2 linked regions of the Tribolium castaneum genome follow. The protein of the gene in region 2 purifies or fractionates together with the protein of the main gene of each other region. This does not show direct contact. Links are inferred from orthologs where the notes say so. Each region holds a gene or a part of one and is shown on either strand. Other genes may lie near its edges.

The links.
Region 1: the proteins of Stoml2 (region 2) and Phb1 purify together in Homo sapiens (affinity purification with western blotting; 3 studies listed by BioGRID, with this or other methods). This does not show direct contact. The link is inferred for Tribolium castaneum from reciprocal best matches to the Homo sapiens genes STOML2 and PHB1.

Annotation. Positions count from the first base shown.
Region 1 is NC_087398.1:10,067,851-10,083,491, reverse strand, and holds Phb1 (prohibitin 1), read right to left. Parts: upstream 7,129-15,641; 5' UTR 6,995-7,128; intron 6,843-6,994; 5' UTR 6,837-6,842; coding exon 6,746-6,836; intron 6,691-6,745; coding exon 5,951-6,690; 3' UTR 5,825-5,950; downstream 1-5,824. Other genes in the region: uncharacterized protein LOC663453, read left to right, coding at 1,983-2,052, 2,100-2,207, 2,260-2,534; mannose-P-dolichol utilization defect 1 protein homolog, read right to left, coding at 8,251-8,885, 8,933-9,032; uncharacterized protein LOC103312918, read left to right, coding at 9,603-9,669, 9,723-9,747, 9,800-9,856, 9,902-9,992, 10,039-10,170, 10,220-10,375, 10,421-10,573; uncharacterized protein LOC103312960, read left to right, coding at 11,947-12,024, 12,069-12,274, 12,323-12,379, 12,426-12,516, 12,565-12,693, 12,741-12,896, 12,948-13,124; protein lifeguard 3, read left to right, coding at 13,411-13,644, 13,691-13,905, 13,952-14,008, 14,386-14,473, 14,520-14,645, 14,695-14,847, 14,896-15,054; slv (sugar transporter SWEET1), read right to left, coding at 9,138-9,441.
Region 2 is NC_087396.1:12,754,115-12,770,750, forward strand, and holds Stoml2 (stomatin-like protein 2, mitochondrial), read left to right. Parts: upstream 1-5,636; 5' UTR 5,637-5,733; coding exon 5,734-5,778; intron 5,779-5,828; coding exon 5,829-5,939; intron 5,940-5,988; coding exon 5,989-6,385; intron 6,386-6,438; coding exon 6,439-6,839; intron 6,840-7,695; coding exon 7,696-7,869; 3' UTR 7,870-7,939; downstream 7,940-16,636. Other genes in the region: uncharacterized protein LOC103312132, read right to left, coding at 965-2,161; maspardin, read left to right, coding at 2,553-2,651, 2,704-2,944, 2,989-3,218, 3,387-3,635, 3,681-3,749; coiled-coil domain-containing protein 112, read right to left, coding at 3,874-3,904, 3,949-4,200, 4,247-4,449, 4,499-4,719, 4,767-4,914, 4,966-5,195, 5,251-5,351, 5,400-5,545; kra (protein krasavietz), read left to right, coding at 9,299-9,359, 9,413-9,589, 9,635-9,795, 11,859-12,401, 12,454-12,780; asparagine synthetase domain-containing protein CG17486, read left to right, coding at 13,213-13,449, 13,499-14,686, 14,726-14,967, 15,014-15,194; Myo81F (myosin-I heavy chain), read right to left, coding at 16,166-16,516, 16,567-16,636. UniProt on the Homo sapiens protein: Mitochondrial protein that probably regulates the biogenesis and the activity of mitochondria.

The sequences.
Region 1 (15,641 bases), on a different chromosome or scaffold from region 2:
GCATGTCCTATCACTTGTTTAAATTTGTAACAATAAAAACAGAACCCTGTATATTTTTTTAAATAAACAAGTGGGAGTAATTGTGACTCCGGAATGCGACAAAGTGACTACAGAAGGTATATTGAATCTGTATATCTGTATATTGAACTCTCAACATAACACCACAAATATCGAAAGGAGCATTATTTATAATAGGGCTATGAAAGCACAGTCAATAAACTAACCACCAATTACATTCAAACATAAAATAGGAGAAAAAAATACCTATATTTTACAAAAAAGTATTTTAGGTACTCATACGCACAATTAACTTAATTATGCGTTAAATATAAATATATTTCGTATAGCACTCCGTATATTTATTTTTTCCAATTTTTTGTTCAGGTTCATTTAATTTAAATTAAAAAAGGAAATATGTAAACAGAGTTATTCCTTAAAATTTTCAATTTTTGTTTGGTTGTTTTAGGAGCCGTGTTTTTTGCAATAATTTCTTACATGACACATAATTTCAGCTATTTTTTGAACAGGTTCAAAATATTCAGACAGCATGAGTTTACAAGTCTCAATCTTTTCATAAAGTTTTTTCGAAATTTTTAGCATACACTCTTTCGGTCTGTCCGTTGTAGGAGGTATTTTTAATGATATTATGGTATTGGGGATTTTTTTGTCCGCTTTCGATCTACAGAGGGTCCGTTGTAGAGAGGTTTTTTACATTATTTTCCAAAGTTTTTGTACCGTTCCAATAAAAATGTCCGTTGAAACGAAGTGTCCGTTATTCGGAGATGTTCATTAAGGAAGGTTTCATTGTATTAGACTCAACAAGTTTGAAAGTGAAAAAAACGAATGTCTTCTAATATTATATCTCAAAAACTAATAATCGTACAGAAATCAACATTTGCTATTAAATACTTTATATTTTCCCTATGCAAGGAATTTTTCTCTTCCTAATACTTAATTAAAATTAGTTAATTAAAAATTACCAATAATTAAAAACAAGAAAATGTTAATTGATCGATAATTTATGTTTTCTTAATTTATTCTAAAACAACGATACTTTGAGCAAAAAATTTGTAATAAAACTGTTGTTTCCACCAAAATTTCGTTTATTAGAATTTTGAATTTCTACTTAACTAATTATGTTTTGTTTTTTTTTTATATCTTTTACGGACTTTTTGGAAAAAACAACTTTTAAAGATCACTTAAACTGTAAAATACAATTAAACAATAATTCTGATTTTATTTGAGAACTCCGCGCAAGGCCCAAGAAGTGATTAAATATTCGGCCGGATTCATGTATCATCCTCCAAAGCAGAGTGTTTTAATGCTCATTTTTAAAACAAGTCGCATTTTTTCATTTAATTGCGCGTTTTATATAAGTCACCAGCATTTAAATTACAGACATTCCACATAACTTATTTTTGCGTATTCGATATTTTCGCAATTATTAATTTTAATAACCAAAGGGACAAGGTGAAAAATTGGCCCTGCTTTGATTCGTTTATTATGCAAATCGGAACGTCTCACAACATTGCAAGGCTTATTTCATTTAGGTGGTGACAAAAAGATTTATTTTTTGCTTCTTATTCGTGATAAAATTTGACTTTGTAGTCCAGTTTAGAAAACAGATGTTCAATTACTCATCCACTAGAGGTTAAAAACAATTTCGTAAACTTATTCATGGAAAATAATTGATAATGATCACCTGCAAGATCTTGAACGATAAGGTAAACAAACATTTGCTTATTAATTTTATTATTGACTTTTCTCAAAGAACAAGACGACAAAATTAAAAAGAAAATTTTGGTGTAACTGAAAATCCTACCAGCAGTTCACTTGAAAAAAAAACTAAGTACATACATAACAAGTAATTCGATTGTTTTCACTAATAATAAATTATCGTAGATAAGAACACCTGTTTAAACATTTTTCCGGCTATATATAAAGCTAGTTGGAAACTGATTAAACCAACAATCTGAGTCAAAATGTCAGTCTCTGCTCTTCTCTTCGTTATTTTCCTTTTTGGGGGTGCCTACAGCACGGTTGTGAGTCAATGTAAGTGAATTTTTTCTTTTTTTTGCAATTTATTTACACAAAAATAGGCCCCACTGGCCCTTTACCAGACGATGTCCAAGTCGAAAATTGTGACGCGGAACCGTGTGTTTTCTACATCAATTCTAACACCAGCATGATTATGAAATTCAAATCTCGTATGTAGTATATTCTTATTTCATTTCATAATTTTTTAAATAATTTTCATAGCCCGTAAGTTGGAACATTTTGCTCCAAACGCTGTTGCTTCTCTTATGGGCATAAATGTGACGTATCCGCTGGATCAGGATGATGCTTGTGTTGGAATTACCAACACAAAGTGTCCCATAGAAGAGGGTGAACAAGTTGAATACACCTACGGAATGTACATTTTGCCCGTTTTTCCAGAAGTCAGCCTAAATTTGGAATTTTCGCTTCGGGATAAGGACAGCAACGATGAAATTATTGAGTGTTTCAAACTTGATATTGAGCTAAAGAAGGCTTAAATTGTGATTTTGGTTACTAAATAAATAAATAACAAATTAGTGATTTTTTATTCTTGTCGACCTATTATTAATTATTACTTTCATCAACTGCTTAATTAATCAATTAAAACCCCAATTAAACAGTAGTTAATTAAAATCGATTGATGCGTTTTTTATTTTAATCAGATGGTCCGGCCCAACTGTATCCTGTTCTTAAAATAAATCACTTTCAGCGATGACTTATTACTTTTAAATTGTTGTCTCCAGTGAAGTTTTGGGATAAATAATGTGCAAAACCGAACGTTTTACGACTTAATTAAAACTGTTTGTGTGATTAATTGCAATGTTATGTAACACTGTTTTTTTTTTCAGATTCAATGTCAACTGGTTCAAGGCTTTCCTGGAGGTTCAGCATTTGGGACAAATAAAATTTGGGAAAAAAAATTGGCTTGGTTTATTTCTTCCTCCCTCACTAATGATTGCAAAACAGGCTGTAGGAGAGATAAATCATTTCTGATTAATCGACGCATTTGACTTTAGTTTTAAGGCATGCATGCCAGCATGTAATAAATAACGTTAGAAGGAAGGTGTCGATGGACTTGACTTTGATGAAGGCGGCTGCTTTACCGCCACTCGGCTGGATATCGACGTCCTGGGGATGTTGTAATTAAAAATAGTGTCGCATCACTGCGATACCCATCACAAAACTACTTTTGTCTTAAATTCTCATTAGTTTCGAGAGTTATGTAAGGCTGTTTGTTATCGGGCTCGATTGGACTATTGACAGATCCTGGTGGATGGGGTTTAGAAGGGAAAGGTATTTTCATGTAAACTGAACGCTCACTTCCGGTACTTTTTTCTTGAGTCGTGAGCGTAAACCATATTTGTTTTTAATTGAAACTGTGTGTGGAACGAATTCAAGGACCTTCGGTTGGTTTTGTTTTTATATATTATTCTCGAATTAGTTAAACTGTAATATCCTTATTATTAAAACATCGCAAAATAAGGTTTCACCTCTCAATTTTTTAAAAAATTGAAGAGGGTGAGATAATTGTTAACCTTTAGCTATTTTCAAGTCTCAGTGTGATTTTAACGTTTACTGTTAAATAACCGTACCTAATTATAATTATTAAATTTTTTCTATGCATGTGAATTTTTTCAAAATTTTTCTACAATTCCCTATAATTAGAATTAATTACTTAATAGAGTCGCTAAAAAACAAGTATGTTTTAACTACTTCGAACGGCTGAAAAAATTAATCAGCCACGTGCAAAACTATTTTTTTTAAATGAACAGTGTCAAATAATTTTAAAGTTGTCACCACTAGCATTCACTCGTACTAGTTTTAATAAAAGAAGAAAGCAGTCTCTGTTTTTTATTTATTTGAAAAAAATGTCATTAAACATTACAGCAAAAGAAATTTTCTATAGATGAAACCACAGATACAGGGATAAAAACCTACCGATAACAGTTTTGTAAATTTGAAAATAGTAGTCAAAGTAGAGATCATTAAAACACCACCGTTGAAATTTAGACGCAAAATGTACGAGTAGGTAACATCTACAGGATTGTTTAACATAGTCGCAATTTTTAGCAAGAAAGGGACGAAAATGCAAAATATTCCTGAATGTGGCAGAAGACAGAAATCAATCACATAAAGGGTAGGTCTGGTAGTTGCAATATGCTTTTAACAAAGAAAAGAAAAGAATGTAGAAGTAGGTTTAACTTTATAAATTACAATACAATAAATTACAGGAACAGTATGCTTTATTTTTTCCATATAATCTCCTCCTTTCATTATTTTTTTGCGTGAAGCTAATTTTTTGTGTACTTATTACACCACTGTTCTTATACGTGCAGTCATTTCTCTTTTAGAAAGGATTTAATTCTGTATTTAGACACAATTAAGGCAGTGATATACCTACGTATGTGCTGAGGAACCTGAGGTTCCTAATAAGGCGTTTAAAGAAGAAATGTGGATAACACTAGTGGATTCAAAATCCATAAAGTCTTTTAGGAAACCTTCAACATACACGTAAATTTTTTACCGAAATGTTTAGGTACAAAACAATAAATAAACAAAATCTGTGGATATTCAGATGAGCTACTGCCAGTTTTTTTCAATAAAATTTTTACTAGGGCACCAAGTAAGGTCGTTTAAAAAACAAGGTTTATTTATTGCCTGATTTTAATGTTTACAATAGCCATTCAATAAAATTATTGAATGAGTCCAAAAATTCAAAGTGATTGGTTGCTAACGTTATTATAATGGCCGACCATAAATGTACCAATCATATCCGAAAATATAATTTTTCAATGAATCCAAAAATCTAAAGTGATTGGTTTTCTCCGTAATTTTAATGGCCGACCCCAAACCGTCCAATCAAAATGCTTACAAATTTTACAACAATCTTTACGTGGCTTACGTTAATTCATAAAACATGAGTCTGTCTTTGTTGCCTGTCACATCTTCAGTCTTTCATGAATTCACCCTCAGAGGTAATCTTGGACGATCTACTAGATGAAAATGCAAAAATTGGGATAATGGGAGGAAATAAATAAGGAATATTATATTGAAGCTCTTTTATATTTGCTATGAGTTGTAATATCAGTTAAAAAGTTTCAATTGACGAATTCTCGAAATGATCCATGTTGCGCATGCGCGCGCTCTTCAGTTTTCCAAATGACATTTCTGGAAAATCTAACAAGAAAGACGAAAAGTTGGTGGAAACTGCCCCAGAATATTCAAAAGTGATGCGAAAGGGGGTCATGGCTTAGGTAAATGGTGTTGTTTCAAAAACGGTGCTTGTGTTTTTTCCAATAATAGTGTCCACATTGTCGGCGTGCGACAAGTCGGAATTTTTTTTTATTATTATATTAAAGCTGATCGAAAATTTGTAAGTAAAAATTGGTATCATGTAAAAAAGAACTTTTTTTCGGCATTTTGATCGTTTTAGAATTGTGATTGGTTACCTACAATCTGTAATGAAAGTAGAGAAAGTTTGACTCAAAGTGAGAATTTCTAGAAAACACAATTTAAGAGGATTTTTCAAATTTTAAAACAACCAACAAGTAGATTGTTGTTTTTTAAGCCGATAAGAAAATCTTTAAAATTACACCTCCACAGAGGTAGACCTAATTGCGATCGAAAAATTGAGTGAACGAGAGACCCCCACATAAAAAATAATCGCCAATTATTTTTTATTAGCCATAAATACTGATAGTTTTCGACAAAGAGGCCCAAAGTATATCCAGATTCGGGGCGGATACTTAATCCGCCTCTGAGAAAACAGGTAAAAAAAACACGAAAATATTTTATAAAATTTATTAACAGTAACAGTATGGCCTTAAATAAGTAAAATAAAATTGGTACATATCCTAGTTCACTCCTAGTCCCGAGTCAAACAAAACACCCGACTCTCTCCCCCTTTAAGCCCTTAATTCGAGGGCGTAGGCACATTGAGCAACAGATTTTGCCCCCCTGGCAAATACGACACTTGCCTCGACCTCGACAATTGATACGCGATATCCTCCGCAGCCTCAATCCTCCTCAACTCCACCAACCCCTCTCCGGCATCCCCAAACGCCTTCGCCAGCAACGTAGCCGCCTGAGCATCCCCTTCTGCCGAAATCACCGCCGCCTTCTTATTCTGCTCCGCCTTCTCCACCAAAAACCTGGCCTTCTCCGCCTCCTGCTGCGCCACCTGCTTCAGCTCCACCGCAAGAGTAAACTCCCGTCCAAACGTCAAATGCGTGATGGAAATATCGTCCAGGATGACCCCAAACTGCGACGCCCTCTCCGTGAGGTCCTCGCTGACCTTCTGCGAGACGAGGTCACGCTGTGTGATGAGCTCCCCGGCGTCGAACTGCGCCACCACGGCCTTGAGCACCTCGGTGGTGATGGAAGGGAGGACGCGCTCTTCGTAGTCCTGCCCCAGGACGGTGTAAATGCGCGGGAGTTGGTCGGGGACGGGGCGGAACAGGATACGGAGGGTGATGTTGACGTTCTGCAAGTCCTTGCTGCCGGTGATGACCGGGACGTTGCGGGGGCGCGACCGCACGTCGAAGATGATGGGGCGTTGCACCCAGGGGATGAAGAAGTGGGTGCCTTCGCCAATCACTTGCTTCTTGATGCCGGAGAAACGGTCGAAGATCACGGCACGGTGACCACCATCGACTATCAATTAATTAATTGAGCACCAACACAAACACAATTTTTTGCTAATTTTTACCATTGTATAACGCCGAATTGACCACGCCGCCTACCAGAGCTACTCCAAGGCCAAACTGTCCAATCCTGTTGAATAATTGCGCCGCAGACATTGTTTACTTGAAAAAAAGGACTGAATGTAATGTGTGCAGGATGTAAGGTTATGTCGGATCAGTTTGGCTCATTACGCATAAAAAGCCACGTTTGGTATAAAAAACGTAATCAATATGAAAACACAACGTTGGCTAATACATTAAATATGATAAATTACCTGTAATTAACTGCAAAATGTAATAAATCAGCCGGCAAACTCACGAGTTGCTCTTTGAACAAAATGGAAGAATTGGATTTGACATTTGACAGCGTAATTGGTGACTTTACACCAACTTTGTGGAAGAAAATAACTACATTTTGAATTTTTTTATTCGTAAACTTTGAATTACATTACTAAAACCACGTAAATATCGATTCTTAACATTAATAAAGATTGAAAAAAGCATCAGAAACTTCAAATATTTAATCTTTTGCCGTCATTGTAAGAAAACAATGGTTTCTTCAGATGCCCTCTGATACCAACATTGCTAATGAAAATAACCACATTTTGAAATGTTTATTCCATTTTTTAAAAATAATATCAAAAATAGTTTTTATAATTAATTAAATTGTAGCAAATCATAAGTACAACACCACATATTTATGTTTCTTTAATTGCTATAAGAATTGATTTATTGTTTGAAAAAGTTAGTTGAATTTTTAAAACGTAATAAAAACTGTATTTTATTTTTTTTTAAACTCTCGACTCTGTAACATGTGAAGAACGACATTATTTAATCCACTAGGGTGGTATTTTTTTCAATAAAGTAATTAATTTTCATAAAAAACGTAATTTTTTTTTAATCTCTATAACACTTTTTCTCAAAAAAGTTGGCATTATTTCATCAAGATTTAACTCATTATTTGGCCCGTGTAAAAATTCACTCCGCCACGCAACCACTTTATTTTTAAATTGAGTATTTTTTGCAAATTAAAAAAAATGTAGTTATGCAACCAATATTGCAAGCCAATATTGCTAGCCCAAGCTCTAGAGGATTATTTAATTCAACAAATAACCACTTATTTTCACACTGAAATGGAAACTCGACTTGATATCTAAATTTTTACGTCAGAATCAACAGTTTAAATTTCCAACCACAAACAAAAAATTAAATTTTGTAAACAAATTACGATAAAAAGTCTATTTTACCTTTTTATCTGTTTTATAAGTTTATCTGAATGACGCTTAGTAAAGAATAAAGAGAATTACAGTTGAGAATTCTGAGAGCTACGGGTTCTGCTAAATAAAACTACCCACTTCTGTTTAATTACCATTTTTATTTTTCCCAAACAGTCGTTTAATAATCAAAGACTTACACGTTAACAGGGAATGATAAACTGCAACATTTGTACACGAATTTAACAGTCTCATCAACTGGTGATATTTTACACTAAAAATTGAAACTTATGCACATTTTTTTAATCCCTAAATCCCTAGTGAGCCTTTTCTTTTTGTGGTGTTACGTTCCAGTAATAGAGCAACTGCGCTACCAGCACCCCATTGGCAAGAGTGCTAGCAATATAGGTCAGAATGACCATCTTGTCCCCCGTCTCCTGAATCGAGGTGAAAATCCTGGCTAGAGACCCCATAAATAACATAATCAAAGTAGCCGCTGACAATTGACCTGTAGTTCCATTTTTGTAATTACTATAAGCTTGTGTCAACTTCCCGCTAACAACAATGAAAATGTTAAAACCTTGCAATGTCCATAAGACACTGATAGGGGTCAAGCCACTCATTAGAATGAAATTGACTAACAAATAAGCAACTAAATATAGAAGTGCTTTTGAGCTAGAACCCCCATAATGGAGCACCAAAACCCCAACAAGGACTGTCTGTATCGCAAGAAAGGCGGCATCGCCCCACGCACTGAACGGGAACTGTTTGAGGAAACTATAAGATGCGTAAATCGTTATTGCAGTCAAGTCCAAAGTAACACTGAGCAAACTGATGCCCTCCCCGCTTTTATTCTTGTAAATTTTGATGATTTGGGGCAGTTTTACCAAAAGTGAGCCCATAATTATGCCTAGACCTAGGCATTTGCTCAAAGTTGAAGAAAAACACGGCCCTGAAAGCACAAGTCAAGTGCATTATAACCTCACTTTTTGTACTCACCATCGAAAAAATTCAAATGAATGAAATAATTATCGTAACAGTGGGGCGTAAAAACCAATAAAAGGACTTGTCGAATGAATTCGAGCGGTTGTGAGCCCATTTTTTGTGTCTTCTTTAAAATGATGACACGTCAAGGACCGTGGTGAGGTTATGTCACGCCACTAGTGTTATTATCTGTGATTTGAGGCGATAAGAACTGAGATATTTAAATTAAATAAACGTCGTTCTCATCGTTTGCTACTGTGTTTGATAAAAAGCCACTTAATTTATGACTTTGACTTAATTTCAAATTAATGACAAATCCATAACGCACAAAATTCATAACGTAGGAATTGATAGTTTGGTGACAGTAGCGCGAAAATTCAAACGTCAAGATGAGTGTCCCCCCATCAAACGAAGACTCAGTTACTGAAATATACATTTCGCCAAAAAGCAGACGTAAGGTTTGGGATGCGGATTCCGAATCAAGGTTTTTCTTCCAGGCGGCACCTGCTCCCCAGCCGAAACCCCTAAAACATCATGTTTATTTTCCGCGAGAATCGGCTTTGCACACATTTGCGGTAGCTAATTGTTGAAATGCGGGTACATAAAGTGTGTAATTGTGTCTTTTAGTCTTTTTCGGTCGATACAGCAGCCACTCCAACCGCCTCCGTCCAGACTGTGAATCGGGATGATGGGCTCATTTCAATCAACAGAGACGAAATTCCAGCGTTTGAATGTATCAGAAATAAAAATAAGTTTGTTCGGGGAACTTTTGCAATTTTGATTTGTCATTTTTTGATCATTTTAGCGCTTCTCCTGCTGATGCGATTTCTGTACGTACCTATAGGTATTAAGTATCATAAAAATTGCAATCACTTTTTTCAGACCACCAGTTCGGTCATTTGTTTACAAAAACAGGACTATTTTAATTATAATTTTTTTGTGAGTATTGTCGGATCGAAATCCGGCATTTTATTACCGTTTTAGAATGAATTATTTGGGTCTTGAGGTGATACTGGTTTGTAGTGCCAAACTGAGACGTTATTTCCCAGTTAATTGTATCCTTTTCCTCCTATTCGTAAGTATCATTTCGACTGTAAAATAAGTTTTTTCATCTTTTTCAGACATTTTCTGTAGGAACGACTCTAGTTTCATTCGCGGTTTCATGTACTGGGATCCTATGGTCCTCTATTTACGGCACAGCTCTCGCAGTTGTGGTCCTTATCACGCTTTCACTAATGTCTTGCCAGAAGAAAGTACAAGTAGCAGCAACTAAATTATGATATACTTTTTATTTAATTTCAGTGGGAAGTCACTAATGTTTGTATGCACATTTTCACGTTCCTCTATATGTCGGTTATAACCGGATTTGTTACAATAGCCTTGAATTTTACTCATTTTAAAGAATGTGATCTTTGGTTCATGTTTATAACTTCGGCGATAATGCAGATATTAATTCTGGTAACCGAAGGTTGCAAAGTGATCAGAAATGATGATGTCTTTTAGTGGCTTCTCTATGTCACTCGGCAAATTGCAGTCTGTGAAAAAGAGCGCCTTTGCTGCCAAGAATACGTTTACGGAGCTTTAACACAGATCGCCTACCTACCCCTTTTCCCCATGTCCATAATCAAGTTTATTAAATATTGTCGAAAACTATGATATTCGTCGTTTTATTTCAAAAAACGTGCTTCCTTTGAGAAATTGATTCAGAAAATGGACAAATTAGATGGAAATTAAATGATTTTAAACAGAAAAACATGCAAAATTCGGTCTATAACTTGTAATTATTTTAAAACTTTTCGTTATAAAAAAAAAATTAAATCACTACGAAGTCGCCAATAAATATTTTCCGACAAATTTGCCACAGAAAAACTCAGAATACCATGCAGTTTTAGCAAATAGTGGACTCTTACTGTACAGTGTGTGCCAAACCGCAAAAATAAGTTGAATAAATCGTTTTTTTCAAACAACACCGTGTATTTTTTACACGTGTCGATAGCATTTTGCATAAGATTTCAAATGGTATAGACTTTGCATAGCAAATTTGAAACACTTTTCGAAAATTAAAAAAAAATATATATTATATTATAAGAAAATTTGTTGTCCTAGAATCTGATAAATTCAAATGATAATTTATTTTTTGATATGTACTAATGTGACTAATTACATTAGTAATTTAATTATTACTTGATACATAAATGAATTTTACTCATCAAGAATTAATAATAAAATAAATAAAAAAACGAAAAAAAAAACACTTTAAGAAATATTTTTAATTTGCATGTGAAAAAAAATAAGCTATTCAACTTTTTGCGTTTTGGCACACCCTGTACATTACCTTCGTGAATCGAGTAAAAGTTGACTACTGCTAAAATGACTCTAGGTTTTGTTGTTGCAAATTTGTCGAAAAATATTCATAGGTGACTTCGTAGTGATTTTTTAAAAATTGGTCTTTTTTATAACCAAAAATTGAATAATTCGGAAACGAAAAGAGATAGACTCGTAATAGTTTATATAAATTTTATTTTTATTAAATTTTATTTTTTTGCGTAGAATATAACTATGCAAAAAAATATAGGTGTTCCATTTAAAAAAATATAACTTTGGTTCACCACCCGGTATACAACACACTGTGTATAATACAAATATTTTTGTTTTGTGGACTTTAAGTCGATCTATCGAATAACGAAAACGGCGTAACGATATTTCAAGTAACAAAAAAGTTATAAACCTATTACGCACCCCTGGGTCACTCTGTATGAACACAATTTCACCGAAAAAATCGAAAATTATTAAACTTATTAAATACTATTATTAATTTAATTATTAATTGAATTATTAATTAATTAATTAAAATATTACTACGGGCACTTAAGAGCTTCCTCGGTAGCTTGTTTTTAAGCACAATTTCGTCAAAAAATGACTCTAGAGTGATTTTGTTCACTTTTAAGAAAATTTTCGATAAAAAACTGAAATATAAAAATACTGAGTGACGTTTGACATTTAGTGCCCAAAGGTCCATTTCTCTCATCATGCCCCGCTACGTCGGCAACCTGAACCAGCCCCAAGTGGCCAGCATAGCCCAAATGGGGGAAGCCCGCTCCCAAACGGTAAGAAAGCGCAGAAGCGGCCTTAGCCCACCCTTTTGTTGCAGGGCACCCCCTGGAGGGCCCTCGGGGGCACCGTCAGTAGCTACTACGCAGAGGATTCGTTCGCCGGGGACCAAAGCGTAGTGACGCGACTCTTTGCTTTATCCTTCCGGAACTTGCGAAACCGTAACTGGTTCGTTCAGCACGTTTTTGTGATTGTAGCCCTGCAGATGCTTTTCTCGTTTGTGTTTTACTTCGTAATGGTTTACAAGCAAGTGGGTCTTTTCGGCTGAATTCAGCACTAAATTCGGTTTTACAGAGAGGGGGTTATGAACAGTATGGTCGAGAATTGGATCCTGTTGCTGGTTATTTTCACGTAGGTGGTGTTTGCCCATTTTTTGTGAAACTAATTGGAGTTTTAGGGCGTTTGTGATCGTGATTACGTCGTTTATGGTCTGCTGCTCGACTTGGATTCGGCAAAAGCCGATGAATTTAATTTGCCTTTTTGTCATTGTAAAATGTTGGGCAAGGTTTTTTGGGGTAATATTTTTTGAGTTTTAGACAGTTTCTGTGATTCTTCAATTTGGGGCGCTTGCTAGTAAATTTAAATTTACCATGGTTTTGGCGAATCACTTCGGATGTCTTACTGTGGTTTGTTTTATGATTTCGTTGATTGCTTCACAGAAGAGAGTTAAGTATTTTTATTTTTGAAAAATCGTAATAACTCATCTTGGCAGTGGGAGATTATGAGTCTGAATATGTGTGGCTTTATTTTGATTCTTACTCTTGTGGTGTGTGGAGTTGTGGCATTTTGCCTGTATTTCCTATGTAAAGATCTATTTCGCTGGGATTTTATAGTCGCATCAACGATTTTAACCATTTTGTGTGTTACGGTAAGTCCAAGTTCAATAACATTACGAAGCAAATAATCATTTATCTTCTAGTTTATGATATTTCTTATGAAAAAAATTTTAAAAGAACAAATATTAAATACCTCCGACTTTGTTTTCGGAGCAATCGTAATGTACATGAGCGTAACAACTCCGTACGTAGTGAAAGCGGTAACAATATTGATTAGGGATAGAAAACCACCAGAGGAACCAGTTGCAGAAACGTCGTAAACTGAATGTATTTTAAGTCAAAGTGTATTTGAATTGTATGGAAATAAATGTCTTAAAAAAAGTGTTGAGTTTGAATTTCACAACCAAGGTTGCCAACTTAAATTCCAAATTTGCCAATGACTGCGATTCAAGCAAAAATGAAAAAAATCGCCTTGTGTTTGATGACTTTTGGCACAAAAACTCGCCTGAATGCTTAGATGCCATCACTAGTACGATGGCAAATTTTTTGAAAAAAATGTCAGAAAAATGTCATTTTAGGGAATCTTGAAACCACAATGTGTCCAAAATGGGTGACAACAACCCCGAAAAAGCTAAAGGTGAGCCCCCGACAGCCCTCCAACAATCAGAGTCCCAGAGCGGGCCGGAAGTGCTGGTGATACCTTACCAACAACCGCCCCCCTACTCCAATCAACCCCCTTACCAACCGTATCAACCCCAAGCTTACTACTACCCCGACCCAAGCTATGCCCAACGCCAAACCCCCGCCTACCAGCAAAGAATGTACCAAGACCCCTATTACGTAGGTGAGTGGTACAAAATTGCGAAAAAAATAATTCAAATTTAAGGGTGGCTATCCCCCTCCGATGAATGTGGCCCAAGCACCGCCCGTAAGACAGCGCCAGTCCGATTTAGGTTTCAATTTTTTCGGCGGAAGTGGGGAGATTTTTACTGACGCCTTCGATACCGTAAAGATCCGAAATCGGTTTGTACAGAGGGTGTACACAATTTTGTCGGCGCAGTTGGCGTTCACTTTTGCCTTTGCATTTCTAGCCACCTATGAGTACGTTTGAGTGTAAAAAGTTAAGTCTAATTTGATTTGATTTTAGGAAGAATACGAAGCTGTTTCTGATACGCAACGGACTGCCTATTATGATTGCGGGCATGTACGGAGAACTCTTTGAAATTAGGTTGGCAACAGTGATCAAAATTCCCTCAAAGAGTCAGTGGTATCACTCTAGTTTCAAAATGACGAAAAAGTGCAACTAAGACGCAAGACTTAAAACAGAAAAATGGGAATTTATAGTTAATTTTTTTGCAACTTGATGTGTTGCGTTTAGTTAATGTTGCCAACTTAATTTCAAAGTCTTGGGTTACTTTGATGAGAAATGAACAAGGATTTTTTATGAACTCGTGATTTAAGTTACATAAGAGATTTTTCAAAGCAGTTATTAAAGTGACAAATAACTGTTTAAATTTTGTTTGAAGAACTTTAGAAAACAACACAAGTAAATTTAAAAACAGTTTAACTTTTTCGTTTCAGGATTGTCTTCATGACTGTTTATTGTTGCGTGGTGTGCACTCGAGTCCGACATCAATATCCTTTAAATTTTATTTTATTGGCAATTCTAGTAACGCCAAAGCACAGTATAATTTTTTTCTAATCTGTATTTCCAGACAGTAGCCATGACTCTGCTTGTAATGTGTCTAACTGCAAGAGTACCACCCCTAATTGTACTATTTGCAGTAGGTACTACTGCAGCTCTATGTTTAATGGTGTCACTATTTGCTATACAAACTAAGGTGATGACTTTAATTTTTTTATTTGAACCAAATGACTAAATTATTTCAGTGGGATGTTACAAGTTGTGGAATGTGTCTGTGTGTAGCAACTGGCATGTTGTGCCTCTATGGAGTGGTTATCATGATTTTGAGCCTTGTGGGAATACATATGCCAATTTTACACGTAGTTTATTCAGCTATTGCAACTGTAATTTTTACTTTTGTAAGAATCAAATTTGACGCCGAATTAAACTAAACTATCTGTTTTTAGTGGTTGATGTATGACACTCAAATGATTGTAGGAGGTCGAAGATTGGAGCTGTCACCCGAAGAGTACATCGTTGGTGCTCTGAGTCTTTATGTCGATATCATTTATATTTTTATACACATCTTGCACTTGTATCAATATTGTATGGGGGGGCGCTCATAATTATATTTCGGTTTGATTTTTGTTGCACAGCCTATTTTATTAGAAGTATTTATTTTATTACACCCATACAAGGAAAAATTGAAAAGTATCTTTTACTGTAACTCAAAAAATCATAGTCCCACAGAAATGCTTCTTTTTTAAATTTAATTTAATTATTTCTAGTCTTATTCCAAAATAAATAAAACATGTTTTGTGTTAATAAAAAACTTAAAAAACTGTTGCTATCCTCAAAATTACCTTTATTTGAACTGTGTTTATTTACTTAATTATTTTTTTAAAATATTTGTTAAAGGATTTTTGCCCCAATAATTCTTATGCAGCGACTACGGAAGACTATAAGTTAGGAGATAAAACGAGGATTTTCTGAACCCAAAAAAATAGTACAGCTCAGTAAAAATGAGGGCGCTTCGAGCGATTGTTTTAAATTAATTTCAAGCCAATCAATTCACTAACAGACTGAGAAAAACTGACAACTAAAATTTTCTTAAGAAACAAAAGAAACGAAATATTTAAAAAATTCGTATGGATAGAAAAAAATATACAGAATTTAGTACCAAAAGCTTATTTTTCTGTGGTTATTTTATGAG
Region 2 (16,636 bases):
GACGAAAAGTCGGTGAAATCTGCCCCAGAATATTTAAAAGTGCGAGAGGGGGTCATGGTGTAGGTAAATGTAGTTTTAAAACCTCTTGCTTTTTCTTTTGCAACTGTTTTTAACATTGCCCTATCCAGTTTAGGAGCCCCTTGAAGACCGGACTTCTGGATGCCGTCAGGTCTGACGGGTGATTTTTCCGCCTCTGGCTAAATGGAGGAAAAACCCCAGGAAAAACCAAATGCTGTAATGATGGAACTTACAGTTCCAAACTTTACCTACCTAAATCTTTTAGAGCCTAGATCAAAGTGAAAATATGAATCATTGGTAAAAGTTTTTTACCATGAAACCTGTGCGTGCGGCGTACGTATAATTAAAGAAACAGAAAAAGACTTCTGCACTTCTGTATTTAACTAGTATTTGTACTAGTACTAGTATTTGCAGAAGTGGTTTAATTTCAGTTCAGATAACTGTATAGCTTCTTAAATCTAATCAGTTTGAAAGAATTTGGTAATTTGTTAATCTCGCAACCTTAGTTTTTAGTATTATTTTTTATTAGATTCGAATTCATTTGAACGGGTTAATTAGCGACTTTGAATTTACATGTTTTACTAAATTAATGTAATAATTGTCAACGTTTAAAAGGTTTGAAAAATACCTAACTACCGTTTTTCATTGAAGAACAAATCGGTGGTCGAGGACAGATAACAAAATGGTTTCGGATAACTGCAGAAACTGGGAATAAATAAAACCAAAACATCTTCATTTTCCAAATTTATTTCTTGTATATTACAGAGTCGTTACATAAATTTACACATAATAAAAATAAATACACGTGTAGTAATTTATCAAAATTGTGTAAACGGAAATAACTTGTTTACAAGCCTAATATCCATAAATGCATTTAAATGTATAATTCGAAGCAAAAATATCGGCATTCCTCATAAGATGTTTATTGCTTCCACTTGCTCTCTTTTTAAATTTGATTGTGCAAAAGGAGTTGGAAAAGCGTGGACCGAGTGAGATCAGTGGAAAACTTCAAAATGGACTTGTCTTTGCGCGTTTTGGAAGGTTCAAACGAACATCTCACGTACTTGTGTATGGAGGCAAACCCCTTATCGACGGCATAAGTGGAAATATCCTCCTTCCTTTGATTGTTCTTGTAAATATAGCGAACTATTACGTTATAATTGTAGTCATCTGAAACGTCCGTATTTACCATTGAAATCGGTTTTGCCGTATCGGTGTTCTCAATACAGAATTTTTGCACGGGCAGACTGATCCGGCCCGACTCGCTGTCGGTATTTTTCAAAAAAGTATTAAAACTGTAGCTGTGCAAAGGTACAATGTACTCGTTTAACTCCAAAGTGACGGCGTACGAAGTCTGCCCGAACGTCCGCAAGAGACAATCATTTTCGACGACTGACCGCGTGACCAGACTGTCCCCTTTCGGGAAATTCCACGGCAAGAACGCGGCTTGCAAACCGAGCCTTGTCGAGAGATTCGTGATAATTTTAACCAACCGATGCGGAACATCCCTGTTATAAAAAATAAACGAGTCGATTCCGATCAATTTATGATAGCTTATGAACTCCACAAGCCGCCGCTTGCTGTAAATCGACGGCGAGACGCAAATCGTCGTGTTAATATTCACCTGATGATTGAACGAATTCGTCAACATGATTTTCTTCAACTCGCTATCTTTGCGCGTCTTGAAACTGAACGAGACCGCATATGGCACATGTTCACTGTTGCTCATCTCACAAATGTAGAAATACAAATTCAGTCGGACGTTCTCGTCACTCATCACTTTGGAAAACTTGAATTTCCCAATAACTGGCTTCTTCTTGTCCTCAAACCAGAAGTAGCAGTTCCGAGGCACCAGTTTCTCATCGCTGAGCAAAGTCAATGCCTTGGCTTCGTTCTGCCGGGTGAGAAATGCGGAGTAAATGTAGCCACTTTCGTGCTCCTGCCAGACGGGCGGCGGGCCCCAGTCGTGGTGGCTCAGTATGTTTTCGGTCTGCTGCAGGTCGGAGATGTTGCACGGTTGCCCGAAAAAGTTAAACACTTCTAATACATAATGCAGGCGGTTGTACTCGTGCCGGTAAATCAGGAACAAACTCAGACTAACAATGGAAATAATTAATAACATCAACTGGTGGTACTTTTTCATTCTTTAGCTCAGTTCGTTTGACATTGTGCGATTTTGAGGTTAACATAAACATATGAGTTTGACGTTTCGTGGATGAACGCAGGACGTAATCGCGAAGCCCGATAGTAAATAATTGTTTTTCCGGGCTTATCTGTTAATTTGGTTACGGAAGTGAATAAAAATCTTGTTACTGGGAAGAGTTTGGTTATCGCTCAGTTTTTTATAATTATATTTACGAAATTAACGAAGTGATTTATTTCCTTTGTGTAGTTTGTTTTTGCCACCTTCTGGCCCCCCAGTGAGGCCAATGTGGACGACATTTTATTTTTGATAAGAAATTATTTGTGGAAATTTGTGCGTATTTTGAATAAATGACTCCAAGTAAAACGGTTCTTTCCCCACAAGACTGAAAATGAGTTACATTAGTGATTTGTCCCAATCTCAAGAATATCTAAGTTTTCGAAGTAGTGTTCCATTGAAACGAGTAGTAGTCGATACAGATAACACAAAGGTTTTTTTAATAAAATAATCTGTTGTTACTTTGCCCTCTTTGGCCTCTTCAGGGATGGAGAATATATGACTGTGGCCCCAAGAAGGTAAAGTGCCCGCTAATTTGTCTTCCTCCGGTGTCCGGGACCGCCGATATTTTTTTTAAACAAGCTCTTGCCTTATCAGCTAAGGGGATTAGGGTGATTTCGGCTGAAGCGCCGGTCTACTGGAACGTGAAGGAATGGTGTGAAGGCTTTAGGAAACTTCTTGATTATTTGGAAGTTGTTAAGGTCCACATTTTTGGGGCTTCCTTGGGTAGGACTTGAGAAGTGACTGCGGTTTGCTGACGAGTGTTACAGGCGGCTACTTAGCTCAAAAATTTGCTGAATACACAGTAAAATGTCCAAGAGTTGCGTCTCTGATCTTGTGCAATACATTCACTGACACTGCCATTTTCAATAACCACGAGTCTGCGGCTATTTTCTGGATGTTGCCAGGCCTTGTGTTGAAACGTATGATAATGAGCAATTTCGGGTCAGCAAAGGTTGATCCAGAAATGGTCGAGGCCATTGACTTTATGGTTGAGAGGGTAAATCTAACGAGAGTCTAAATAAAACATGGTCAAGAGAGCTAATACTGACTTTAATCAATGTTATTTAACGTAAATAACAGGGTGTCTAAGACATCGTAAAATTTTTAGAGCTCTCTTGATCACGTTTTTTTAAACTCGCGATATAATTCTAATGGTCAATTTCAGTTGGAAAGCCTTCCTCAAACTGAACTTGCCAGTAGACTTACACTTAATTGCCTTAAAGGATATGTAGAAGCTCACAAATTGGCCGATCTTCCCATTACTGTCATAGACGTATTTGATGAATATGCCTTATCAAATGCCGTACGAGAAGAGCTCTATAAATGTTACCCTAATGCTAAGTTGGCTCATCTTAAGACTGGAGGGAATTTCCCATACTTAAGTCGCTGCTCCGAAGTTAATTTGCATTTACAGGTGATAAAAAAATAAATGAGAAAAGTATTAAAGGTGAAATTGTAGATACATTTGCGACAGTTTGACGATTCCGACTTATCGTCATCAGACCGACCCTTAATTAATCGATGCTGAGTGTTTGCCATTTATATTTTTGTACATATGGATTTTATATTATAACATTTTGTTTAAAAAATACCAAAAATGTAACAAGGACACCAAATTCTACTTAAGAATAAAACACTATTTTGTACAAGCTTTAGGTGTTTTTTCGCCAGTCGGGTATTCCCCTAAAACACGGTTATCACAGGAAACTGCAAAAGCACGCACTTACAATTTCGGTACATGTTTGATGTTTGGAACGTAAGCGGAAGTATTTTCTTCCAGAAAATTATTTTTTGAAGTGCGTACTAGCCACTGTTTGGTAGGTTTTAAGAGCCTTTCGGGATCTCTTGGCACAGAATAACTCGATTTGCTTCTGACCGGTATTTGCGTTTTTTTGGTGCATTTGCTGGATCGCATTCTTCCGATGTAAATATCGTCTTGCGATTGGAACTGTTTGATTCTTTTATTGGCTTCAAAAGCCCTATAATTTTTTTGTTAATTAGTTAAATGATGGAGGTACTGCAAACCTTATTTTTCTTTCTTGCTCATCTAGTACTTCTTGCAGAATTTTTTCGTTAAATTCCTTAACAAGTTTCTCTTCTTTCCATTTGGTCACTGTCTCTTTCGTTTGATAATGAAGGCGCTTTTTGTCCATTTCGAGACGCTTAATTTTTTCTTTTCGTATTTCTTCCATAAATTTTTCTTGTTGACGTTTTAATTCCTTCTCGGCCTTGAAAAGAAAACAGTAATTGTATATTAAACACTTAGGAAAATGTCACTTTCCACTGAGCGATTTTCTTTTGAACGTCTTCGTCATCACATTTTCGAAATATTTTATTTTTGGTTTTATTTTCACACATTTGTTCATCGTTATTATGTTGTGGTACATTTTCGGTTTTCAGCTTGCGCCACTTATCAAGCGCTTCGTCTTTTTTTCTCTTTAAAAATAAATATTTAGTGAACCAGGCTTCATGCTCTCTAACAGCGGTAGGAGTGATGTCTTTAAACAGGCATTATTTAATGTTTTTAACCGATTAGGAAAAGTACCAGGTAACAGTCGGTGCAAATTTAGGGCCAAATCATCAACGGTCTTGTATTTATTTCGAAGCTTTAGGAAAAGTTGGTGATCCTCACTTGCCCACCCATTTTCATGCCCATTGCTTTTGTTAACGAAATCCATAAATTCCTTTACTTCCTATTAACATTTTATTTATTTTCAAACGAAACGTAATAGTAAAAAACTTACTTTATAGTCACTATCAAATTTTAATGACTTGTTGTAGGTTTTGCAGTTGTGGAGTTTGGAAATATTTACACTTTTTTCCCACTCTGGTATTTTACTGTTGAACGTTTCTGTAATTTCTGATAAACCCACTTCTTGCTCTTTTAATGTTTCATAATTGGCTGCGACTTTAATTTTCAATTTATAAATCTTATCCTGGAGACCGATCATTCTCTTTTTAAAAGAACGAATATCTGTAATTAGTTAATTACGGAATAGATTAAACTTGAAAAAATTGTTAGATCGGACCTAGTAATTCCAAATTTCCTTCCTTCAATAGTTTTTTCTCGGCACTCAACAAGCACCAAATTTCTTTTACCTGACTTGCGAGTTGTTCATTTTCATTTTTTCTGCAAAATTAATCACAAAAAGTGTCATTTTAATTATCAGTACTCAACCTTTCGAGTTCGAGAGACGAAAAAAACTCTCCCAAATCCACCCCACAGTCATATTTCGCGAAATTGTTCAACACTTTATTACTTTTTTCCAAATATTCTTGGCAGTTTTTCAACTTATTCAGTTCTGCCAAAAATCCCGAACCCATCTTATTTGTTTGTATCGTAAAACTTGGATACTCAAAATAACAAACACCCTGTATCGGAATTTTGAATTTATACTGGTACAGTAGGAATCGTTTTTACCGATAGCGCGGAACGTCAAATTTTTTCCAAGACCCGGCTTTTGAAGGTTATGGTACATTTGTAATCCTTGAAAATTAAAAAAAATTAAGCAATGTTTTCGAGACAACTGATAAATACATGTAGAACAATATTAAGGGTGAGTGGGGCGGCATTTTTTTGTATCAATTGCAAATTCTTGATTTGTAGCAGCCATCAACTGTTGATTTGATTCAAAACCACACAATTCGTTCTGTAACAGTACGGCACAGGTCTTACACTCCAATTAACACAATTATCATGTTCGTGCCCCAACAGGAAGTATGTTAATACAGAAACTGGGTTAAAATTTCATTTTTCATAAATTCAGGCTTGGGTGGTGGAGAGGATGGGAAAATTTCACAGGATACTCGAGCCCGGCTTAAACGTGTTAATCCCAGTTGTAGATAGGGTAAAGTATGTTCAAAGTTTGAAGGAAATAGCGGTCGATATTCCCAAACAAAGTGCCATCACCTCAGACAACGTTACTCTAAACATTGATGGTGTCTTATATTTACGAATAGTGGACGCTTACTTAGCAAGTTACGGTGTTGAAGACCCCGAATTTGCCATAACCCAGCTAGCCCAAACCACAATGCGCTCAGAACTGGGCAAAATATCCCTAGATAAAGTTTTCCGCGAGAGGGAAAATCTTAACGTATCCATAGTTGACTCAATAAACAAGGCGAGTGAAGCCTGGGGCATGACCTGTCTACGTTACGAAATTCGTGAGTGTTTGTTTTACTAAGCTAGTTTTCGCCCTTCACAAATTTTCTCAAAGGTGACATTAAATTGCCTCCAAGGGTGCAAGAAGCGATGCAGATGCAAGTGGAAGCAGAACGGAAAAAACGCGCCGCTATTCTGGAATCTGAGGGTATTCGCGAGGCCGATATCAACGTGGCTGAAGGCAAACGAAAATCTAGAATTCTAGCTTCTGAGGCCGAGAGACAGGAACAAATCAACAAAGCTGCCGGTGAGGCAGCTGCCATTTTGGCCGTGGCTGAGGCACGCGCTGGGGGACTTAAACTAGTGGCTGAGGCTCTTAAGAAAGATTTGGGGCCGAATGCAGCCTCCTTGAGCATAGCAGAGCAGTATGTGACAGCGTTTGATAAGTTGGCAAAGACGAATAATACGCTTATTTTGCCCTCAAATGTTGGGGATGTTTCGAGTCTGGTGGCGCAGGTAGGTGTGGACTCAAACCAGGGGGCACATCGTTGAATGCTTTGGGCTCCCAATTGTTCTAAATTCATTTAAATTTAAATTTTTGTTACTTGCTTGAAAAAATTCAGGAATGTTATTAGAGTAACAGATTCAAGAGATAGAAAACGTAAGAAAAATATGAAAAACTACATCTTTTTCAACTCTATTTTACAAAAAGTAAATCATATTTTAGAAAATATTAATTGTATTTAAAATTTCAGAAATTGGTAATTTTTATTGTAATTCAAGTTAGCGAAATGTACTTGAAATGTAAAATTTTGAATACCTTGTGTTAAAAAAAATTTTTCGTTACACTAAATTAAATCTGATCGTTTCTGTAACAATACAGTTAAAAAAACATGGAATATACTGTACATTAGTCTTCTTGAAATACAACTTCCAACTTCTAAATTAAAATGTTCCTAGATCCAATATTTTAAGCTGAAGTTCTATTAACTTTTTCTAATCTAAATTAAGTAATGTTTTCTATACTGAATCACAGTTGACAATAGGATGTAAAATGTTAGTTCTGTAGAATCCTAAATATTTACCTGTTTTCCCGAAAATAAACAACCGAAAAAGACAAAATTCTTCAAAAAGCACAAATTTTTATGCACCCCAAAAGTACACAAATATCTATAAACCACCAAAAATTTGATACACGAAAAAACTGTTAAAAATCACCTAATATCATGCAAAATTACCTTAAAAACAACAAAAACTATTACACAGTGTTTTGTTTTTAAACGCAGCAATATAATAATAATAATAATAATAATTATTATTATTATTATTATTATTATTAAGATGTTGGTTTTCCTTATTACTTCTGTTTTAGGCAATGTCAATTTACTCAACGATCTCAAAATCGCAAGGCAATGAAAATGTGAAAAAAATCGATGACTGTATGAATTCTTCGCAAAATGATCTGGCAGAACTGTTCAGCGATGAAGAGGAAAGAAAAAAGCACAAAGATAACAAAAATCAGCCGTCGCTTCCTTTATTTAAATAGGTGTATTTTTTGTTTATTTACATATTCATTACTGTAGAGGACAAGACAAATTAAATTATTTTATAACTGATACGGTGTTTTAATTATCCACATCATTCTACAAAAGATAACAGACAAGAATGAATTTTTATCAGAAAATTCAGGTCTATTCCCAAAAAGTTCAAAAGTAATTTCAGAGTCCTATTGTCTCAGAATTATCAGTGAATTTAAAGAAGTAATAATTGTAACTAACTAAGATAAGAGTAATTAATTAACTGTCTGTGAAAAACAAATCAGTTTTATTTTAGATAAAATGCTCAATTTTTTATTCAAAAAATTCAAATGCGCTGTTGCAAAATTCTGCTATGAACTGAAATTAGATATCAACACATATTTAGCAACTGCTATTTCTGGAAAATGTAATAAAGTTTACTTAAGATAAGATTAGAATTTCTTTGTTGATTTTACTAGTTTATTCAACATCACAATCTAGTTTGGCAAAATATCAATTTATTGCCGATATGCCTCAAGACTAATAAATTTAAAATTATCGTCTTCTGAAGTTAAACACAAATAAGACAATAATTAGAAAGTTGCGAAAAGCCCGCCATTCCAGTGCGAGAAGAAGTCGGATGTCGATTTCCGGTTCAGAAAGGCGCTCGTGTTCATGCGACTCCCTAGCAATTCTAGAAAGTGGCATTTTTTTGTTTCTATAAGCGTCACAGTAGGGTTTTAGCAACAATTAGCCTTTCGATAAGAATAAAAATCAAAAAAGTGCAACCAGCCCCAATCCAGAGCCGTTCGAAACAGTGGACTTTTGAAATTCCCGCGCTCGCTGTCCGTATTGATTCCGGTTCGACCATTACGTTTTATTTCTAGTCCGCAGTCGCACAGTTTTTGACGAGCCAGTCTTGAAAATTCTTGTGAGCTCGTGTGAGGTGATTTTTTTAAAACCGTAAAAATGTAAGTTTTTTCGAGTAAAGTAACGCTAGATAGGAATGCGACAACGGGCGCTGTCAGATATTCACTCGTGGGCTATTTTTGGACGGCCGGAGTCTGACATTTGTTGCATTTTCGCCATTTGGCTGTCTTGTAATGGTGGACCATGCCTTCTGCGATATGCGAAACGGGCGCGTTGTGCAACATTATTTTCCAAAAAGGCGCAATTTAGCGAAGTTTTGCCGTTTTGGGCACGAACACGCTGCCCATTTCGCGTGAAAGTCGCACAAGGGCGAATTTGCGACTTTGCCATTTTCCGTGTAGAAATTCGTGAGTCGTTGACCCGATTCCATGTTTATTTGTGCCGTTAATTCAAGCAAAAATCCTTTCTTTGCGCTTTTTCCCACCGCTGGCACTTCTTGTGACATTCCATATCTTATCGACTTCTTTTTGCACGAACTCAAAGTCGAGCGGAAATTCAATCGCACTCCTCTTTTACAGAAATTTTTGTATGAGTCAAAAAGTAGAAAAACCAGTTCTATCCGGTCAACGCATCAAGACCAGAAAAAGAGGTAAAGCTCCAAAAAGCGCAATGCGCCCCCTTCACGAATTTCCCTTCTTTCAGATGAAAAGGAAAGGTACGATCCAGTAGGGTTTAGGGATGCAATAATCTCTGGACTCGATCAATGCAACAACAATTTTGAAGCAATTTCGCGTTTTTTGGACGGTGCAGGCAATAAACAAGATTATCGTCGATATGGAGAAAGTCTCTTTGACATACTCATCGCGGGGGGCATCCTTGGTAAAGACTCACACTTTTTTGCAAATTTTTACTCATTTCAAGCAGTACCGGGAGGTACGCTCTTGCAGGAAGGGGAGGCGCCGTTCAAGACCTCCGCTTGCATCTTCAACTCGCCTGACGAAATAAACCTGGAGACTATGAAAAGCTGGGAACAGGTTTTCATTAAACTAATGCGTCGCTATAAATATTTGGAGAAGATTTTCCAAGTACGTATTGCTTTCTTTAACACTTTAATTAGCCAAAAAAATGGAGAAAGGAAGTCAACTTCCAGTTCTATTCATTATTTAGAGATTTTGGTTAAATGGTGTGTGACAAAGCATTCACCTTTCAAAGGCCAAAAAATTGTAATGTCTTGCACTTTCTCAAATAAACAATACCATTGCCAGCATTTCAAAATGCGATTACAATATGAAGATAATCATTGGGAAATTAGTTTCTTTTTTATTGTATTGTAACACAGCGATGAATAAATAAATCACGTGCAAATAAATTAGAGAATAAGGACAAGTTTATGGGAGCATTCTAACTGTAAATATGTCACAAGGCCAAGAAACTGATAAACATTTTTCTGTCTTTTGAGGGAGCATGAAGTGGTTCTATTTCAGCTGTTTAAATTTTAATTAAAAAGTGCGAGGTCAAGCGTTTTTAGATCCTGAATCAGCCGAAGAAATCAAATGTCAATGACAACCAGAAGGAAGTTTTTGTGTAGTATAATGTTAGGTTTTACCACAGGAAGCGGGAAGTGACGTTTTAATTGGCTTCGTGCTGCTAAATTGATAATTTTAAGAATTCATCGATTTTGCTGATCATTTGAAGTAACTGTTATTCTCCTGATCGTTCCGTTATAACTATACAGTTTGTCGTGCAATTTATTAGTCATTTTTGCCACAAATACTTACTGTTTTAGTACAAGCATGGATTAATTTTTAATCTCTTTTTACATATTTTTATTGCTATAGTTAATAAATTTTGGAAAAACAACAAGTCATTTTTAATTTCAGCAAAGCTAAAATATTATTTTCTTGAGTATTCATTTTTGCAATGTTATGAAATTAGTTCATTATTTTGATTTTGTTGCCATGAATAAATGAAAAGCTTGTTTAACGTGGTGTTTATTCGACAAAATGACTCATGTTTATAAAGTGATTAATACAACTTGTAAAAACAAGTTTCTAAATATTATTTAGTAAGAGGTACAATGTAATAAAGTACGTGGTCAAATTATAAGTTTCGAATTTTTATTTATAACTGATGCGGACGTAATTTTGCGTTAAAAATGCTTTTATCAATAGTTTTATCATTAAATGTTTCATTGAAATCGTATTATGATAGATTAGGATGAAGTTATGATGTAATACATGAAATACCTTTGATAAGTAATTATCGTAAATGTTTGTAGAGATACTGCTATTAATTAAAAACTAAACAGCTTGTTTTTCATTTTTTGCATTAATCTTGTAGACTAAAATAAAACAATGTGTTATTTAGACATAGAACCATGTAATTATCTGTTGTTATTTAAGACGGGTGATTATATGTTATAAGGAAAGACTACGTAACTACGACCACAGATCTTATAACTTTCAGTAGGTGAGCTAAAAGTATTCGGAATTTCTGAAATGACGTTTCAGAAAAATACTGGTTTCTTATGTTCTTAACGTTGATTGCAATTCAAAAAAATATGAAGGCAATAAAAATAAATACGAAAACTATGATTTCCTTTTCCTATTTATAATACGTTTTGGCTAATATTATCCGAACAAATCGATCGTTGTTGTTTTGTTTTTTATAATTGTCTTATAAAATTTTATTTTAAACTTACTATTTTTCATGCACCGAAAATATTTTCCATGAGCTCAATGTATTTTGAGAAATATGTCGGGATTGATAATAACAAAGATGATGAAGAGATTATTAAATTACTAACTGAAAACAGGTGAAAACGTGTGTTTTTAAACGTAATTACAGTGAATTTGATAGTTCATATATTTTATTATAGAGTAGAGCCCAAAAAAATCAAAATAAATCAACTTTATCCGAACTTTTACTACCTTTTGAGATATAGAACCTCCACTTCAGCGTCTAAAAATTTGTCAACTAGATTACGTGTTTTGACGTAATAGACGGTGATTTGAGTAATTAAAATTGGGTGGTATCTTTGCCAAAAAAATCGATGCAAATTTTTTCTTTTTGCTAATTTTAACCCTAATGTAATAGATTTTTTCTTTTCTCTTTTTGCTTTATTCAGTGCGCAATTGCGTTGTTGCAGGATGAAATAAAGAAAGTGTTGATGTTTGTGAAATACTTCACTCCAGCCGAACGTAAAAAACTGTCTGTGATGGTATATCTGTGGATCTCGAATGGCAGCATTCCGTTCAGTGCTGTCCTGGTGTTGAGTAATTCGCACTTGGTCAAGGACCATTTGGCATTGGATTTCCTGATCGATGTGTTCAAGTATTGGCGCCAGGACAAGGGTGTAAATTCCCTATATTCAGCCATAAAGAAATCCAACATCGAATCGCATCTGATGAGTTTCGTTCCCGATACGAAACAATCTCAGGTGTACTTCCGTAACGCCTTCCAGGAGAACGGACTGGAAGAAATACTCAAGTTGTACAACGACCAGCATCAACAGCTAGCCAAGAAGGAGCTGCAAGTTATGCTGGCCGATAGCCTTTCCGAAAATAAGCCCCAACGCGACATTATCGCCGAGTTGCGCGAATTTGCGGCGAAAGAGAATATACAGGAGCACGAAACGGTCTGCATCATCTGGACCACTCTTATGGACATTCCCGAGTGGTCCAAGAAAGAAGTAAGACTTTACCAACGAAAATGTTTACACGCTTTGACTTTTTTAATTGTAGGAACTAGTTACCGACCAAGCTGTCCGTCACTTGAAACTCTACACTAGTTTGTTCTCTGCGTTCACTCAGTCGGCTCGCTCCGAGCTAAATCTCCTCTTAAAAGTGCAGGAGTACTGCTATTCAAACATGACTTTTATGAGGGCTTTCCAGAAGATCATTATGCTCTTTTACAAGACGGATGTTATCTCCGAACAGGTTATTCTTAAATGGTATAAGCAGGACTACAGCGTTAAGGGCAAGATGATGTTTGTTGATCAGATGAAGCAATTTGTTGAGTGGCTTCAAAACGCTGAGGAAGAAAGTGATTCTGAAGGCAGCACTGAGTAGGTAGGTTACCCTTGACACCACCAAAACCAGACAAATATCACTATTTGTGTTAAAAAATTCTAACACAAGTTGTCTTGTCTGGGAAATTGACAACATTAGTACTGGCATTTAGTGGCTTCCAAAACTAAATGTTATCGAAAAATGTAACACAATATTTTCGGGAAAGTAGCGTTTCTTATTGTATTTTTTGTTACAGATAACACAACCTTCATTGCATCAGTGCCACCAATTATCAACTAAAAATACCATTTTTTCCAATGTAATTATATCATTGTATAAACATTTCTGGTGCCTTACTATGTTGGTGTGCGGCAGGCAATAGTGACCGGGGATTTGTATTACTGTACTGACCTCTTCAAATTATTCATATTAAAGTATTACTGCATCGGAAAAAATGTTATTTGTATCAATATCGCCAATATTGTCGACTCAATGTTATATATAAATGATTTATTGTCAATTTTTTTAATATACAAACAAATTTTACACGCCTCATTTCTCAAAACCCCATTCGGACGAATGCACGGTCGTTACCGTTTCGAACCGAGTTACATTCGCACGAAAAGTTGTTACAAGAACGTCAAAACCTTAACCTCAAAGTTTGAAATGTGTGGAATATTTTGTTTATTATCATTCGACAAAAGCAATACTGAAACATTACATTACAAGGTCTGTTTCTGATTTTTTTTGCATTTAAATCGAAAACATTTGGTTTTAGTTTGAATTGTTCAAAGAACAAATTTCGCGAAGGGGCCCCAACTCGTTGAAAACCGACTTTTGCCAGCTGAATAATTGCAATATCCTGTTCGCCTCGAGCGTTTTGTGGCTTCAAGGTACCGATATTACGACACAACCGTGCAAAAATGATAATTCTGTCTTTATTTACAATGGGGATATTTTCGGGGGTTCCCAAATCGGTCAACAATTAAATAGTGGTTCAGGCGATACGAACCTATTTTTCGACGCTTTGCAAAATTCGGACGATATTTTAATGACGCTAGACAACATTGAGGGGCCTTACGCGTTCGTGTACTTAAACGTGGTACAAAATAAAGTTTACATTGGGCGTGATATTTTCGGCAGACGTAGTTTACTAATCGGTAGAAATGCAAACGAATTTGTAATAACAAGTGTTGCAAAAAGGGGGACAGAGTTTGAGTTTATGGAACTGCCAAGCATCGGCATATTTTCTATTGATCTTGATACAAAACAGTGGAAAATTTTACCGTGGCGTCGGAAAAACAAAAATTTCGTTGAGAAATTAAGCGAATTTGAGTTATTTATCAATCAGACTGTGCTAAAACAGGCTGATGTATTTGACCGAAAGAAAACGTTCGTTCCTCCTAGCGAGGCCCAGCTGAAACTATTGACTGGGTTTTTGGATTTACAAACTTGTGATTTGTTTAATTTTTTATTTAATTCTCCATTCATGAACAATATTTTACGACTGAAGGAACTTCTCCAAAATAGCATAAAAAAACGTATTTTAGCCCAACCGAAATTTTGCCAAAACTGTTACAAAAAATACGATTGTGATCACGCTATTACTGGAATTTTGTTTTCGGGGGGTGTGGATTGTGCCGTTTTGGCCCTTCTTGCGAGTACAGTAATCGACCCTTTGCGTCCTATTGATTTAATGAACGTAGCGTTTGAAAAAGGGGGCTGTTACGACACCCCTGATCGCATTACGGGCCTTAGCACCCTCAGAGAGTTGCAACAATTGTGTCCTGACCGGAAATGGAACTTCGTCGAAGTTAATGTAACGCGCGAGGAGTTAGATAAGTGTAGACGCGACCGAATTTCCGATTTAATTTTTCCGTTAAATTCGATTCTGGATGATAGTTTAGGCTGTGCATTGTGGTTTGCTAGTCGTGGAGTAACCCAGGATTACACAACGCCGTGTAGGGTAAAAACTGAAGTTTTCCATTTGTCACACCAAATTCAGACTTTGTTGGTAGGGATGGGGGCCGATGAGCTATTTGGGGGGTACACAAGACACAGAGCTGCGTTTCAGAAAAAGGGTTGGGAGGGTTTGAGTGAGATTTTGGACGAGGATTGGCAAAATTTGCCTTATAGAAACTTGGCTAGGGATGACAGAGTGGTGTCAGATCATGGGAGACAACTCCGAACGCCGTATTTGGACGAGGAAGTTGTGAAATTTGTACACAGTTTACACACTTGGGACAAGTAACTGGGAATTCGGAGTGGGATGTTTACCGTTTCGTAATTGTAGGACTTTTCCATCAATTAAATTGCAAGGAATTGGTGAAAAACTTCTTCTTAGAAGTCTTGCGTATCATTTGGGGCTTACAAAGGCCGCCCTTTTGAAGAAAAGGGCTCTACAGTTCGGGTCAAGGATTGCGAACTCGAAAGAAAAGGGACACGAAATTTCGCAGCATTTAACCGCTACATAAAAAAAATTGTAAACTTTGTAAGACTTGAAAACGATGTGAAATAAAAGTCTCATATGCCATTTGTATTTCTTTTTAAATCGAAATCATCCAAACGATAACATAAATCGTTGTTTCCGACTAGAACAGGCCGTTTTTTGCCAGTTCTCAAAAATTTAAAAGGATTTAAATTAAATTTTCTAAAACTATTTCTTTCTCTCGTTAAGCTCTCCTAAACCTAGAACATTTGTGAATGTTTAATAGCATAAAGATGTGGGTAATTATAATTGTGAATTCAACAAGGATTAAAACACAAAAGGGCTTTAAATATATGCAATATATTTAATGAGGTACATTTATATAAATCAGATGACATTTATATAAATGGGCCAAAAAGTGTCCCTTATCATCGACAACTTCAATTGTTTAAAATATCAATATAATTAAATGCCGAATAAAATTTATTAAACTTCTCTAAAATTAGCGGTTAGACACTTTTTAACGCACTTGATGAGTAAAAAAAGTTGTAATTTAAATTAAAAATATCACAATATTAAAAAAATCATGACCAAGCTAAACATATCATTATAAAACAACAATTGCGTTTGTAACAGCTGTACAAAGTAAACTTGGCTTATATACACTTTGACTAGTTGCGTAACTTATCGGCTAGTGTTGATAGAACCATAAACAGTATGACCGTTAACTTTCTATAACTTCAGTCTTTTTCCCATATTTCCGGTATATGTAATTCGAACTAACAAAATGGCATAATTTATACAGTATGGTCACGGTTCAAAAGTCACTCAATCCCAGGTGGGCTTACTACAGAAATAATACTTCACGGTCTTAATTAACTAAAACCACATTTCGCGGGTCAGGACAAGTATTACCTGAAAAAGCTGTTTGGTGGATTTACGTATTTTCGAAGCAATACTTGTAAGACGGTCTCAGTAATGTGCCGCCATCACCTGATCCGCGAAAGTAACCCTCTTCTAGCTGGGCTGGGGGGGCACCAAGGGTGCGTTCTGGTGCAAAGCACTAACTGGCCGACTTTTCGGCGTTTGTGCCCTCCGGATTTCCACCGCATCTCCATGCAGCACCTCCATGTACTCCCGTATCAAAGTCGCGATTTGGAACGCTTGGGCAGTGGTCAAAATAACTTTACTCTGTTTCTTATCACTTCCGGTTATGATCATTAGGTAGTTAAGCGCCGGTGCGTAGCTCAAAATACTCCCATAATCGTAGGTACAAAGTGTGTTTCTTGAACGGTGCTCGAGGAGGTGGAGGCCTTTCTGGTCCACGGCGAGCCACAACACTCGAGGCCAGTTCGAAGTGAACGATTGCTAAAATCAAACAATTATTATGTAAAAGGGTTGGGGGAGAGAGTTTGTACCATAACGTCGAAAATTGTAGCTTTGTGCAAAGGCCAGCTTTGAATTAGGTTTAGGAAGGCTTGCTTCGCC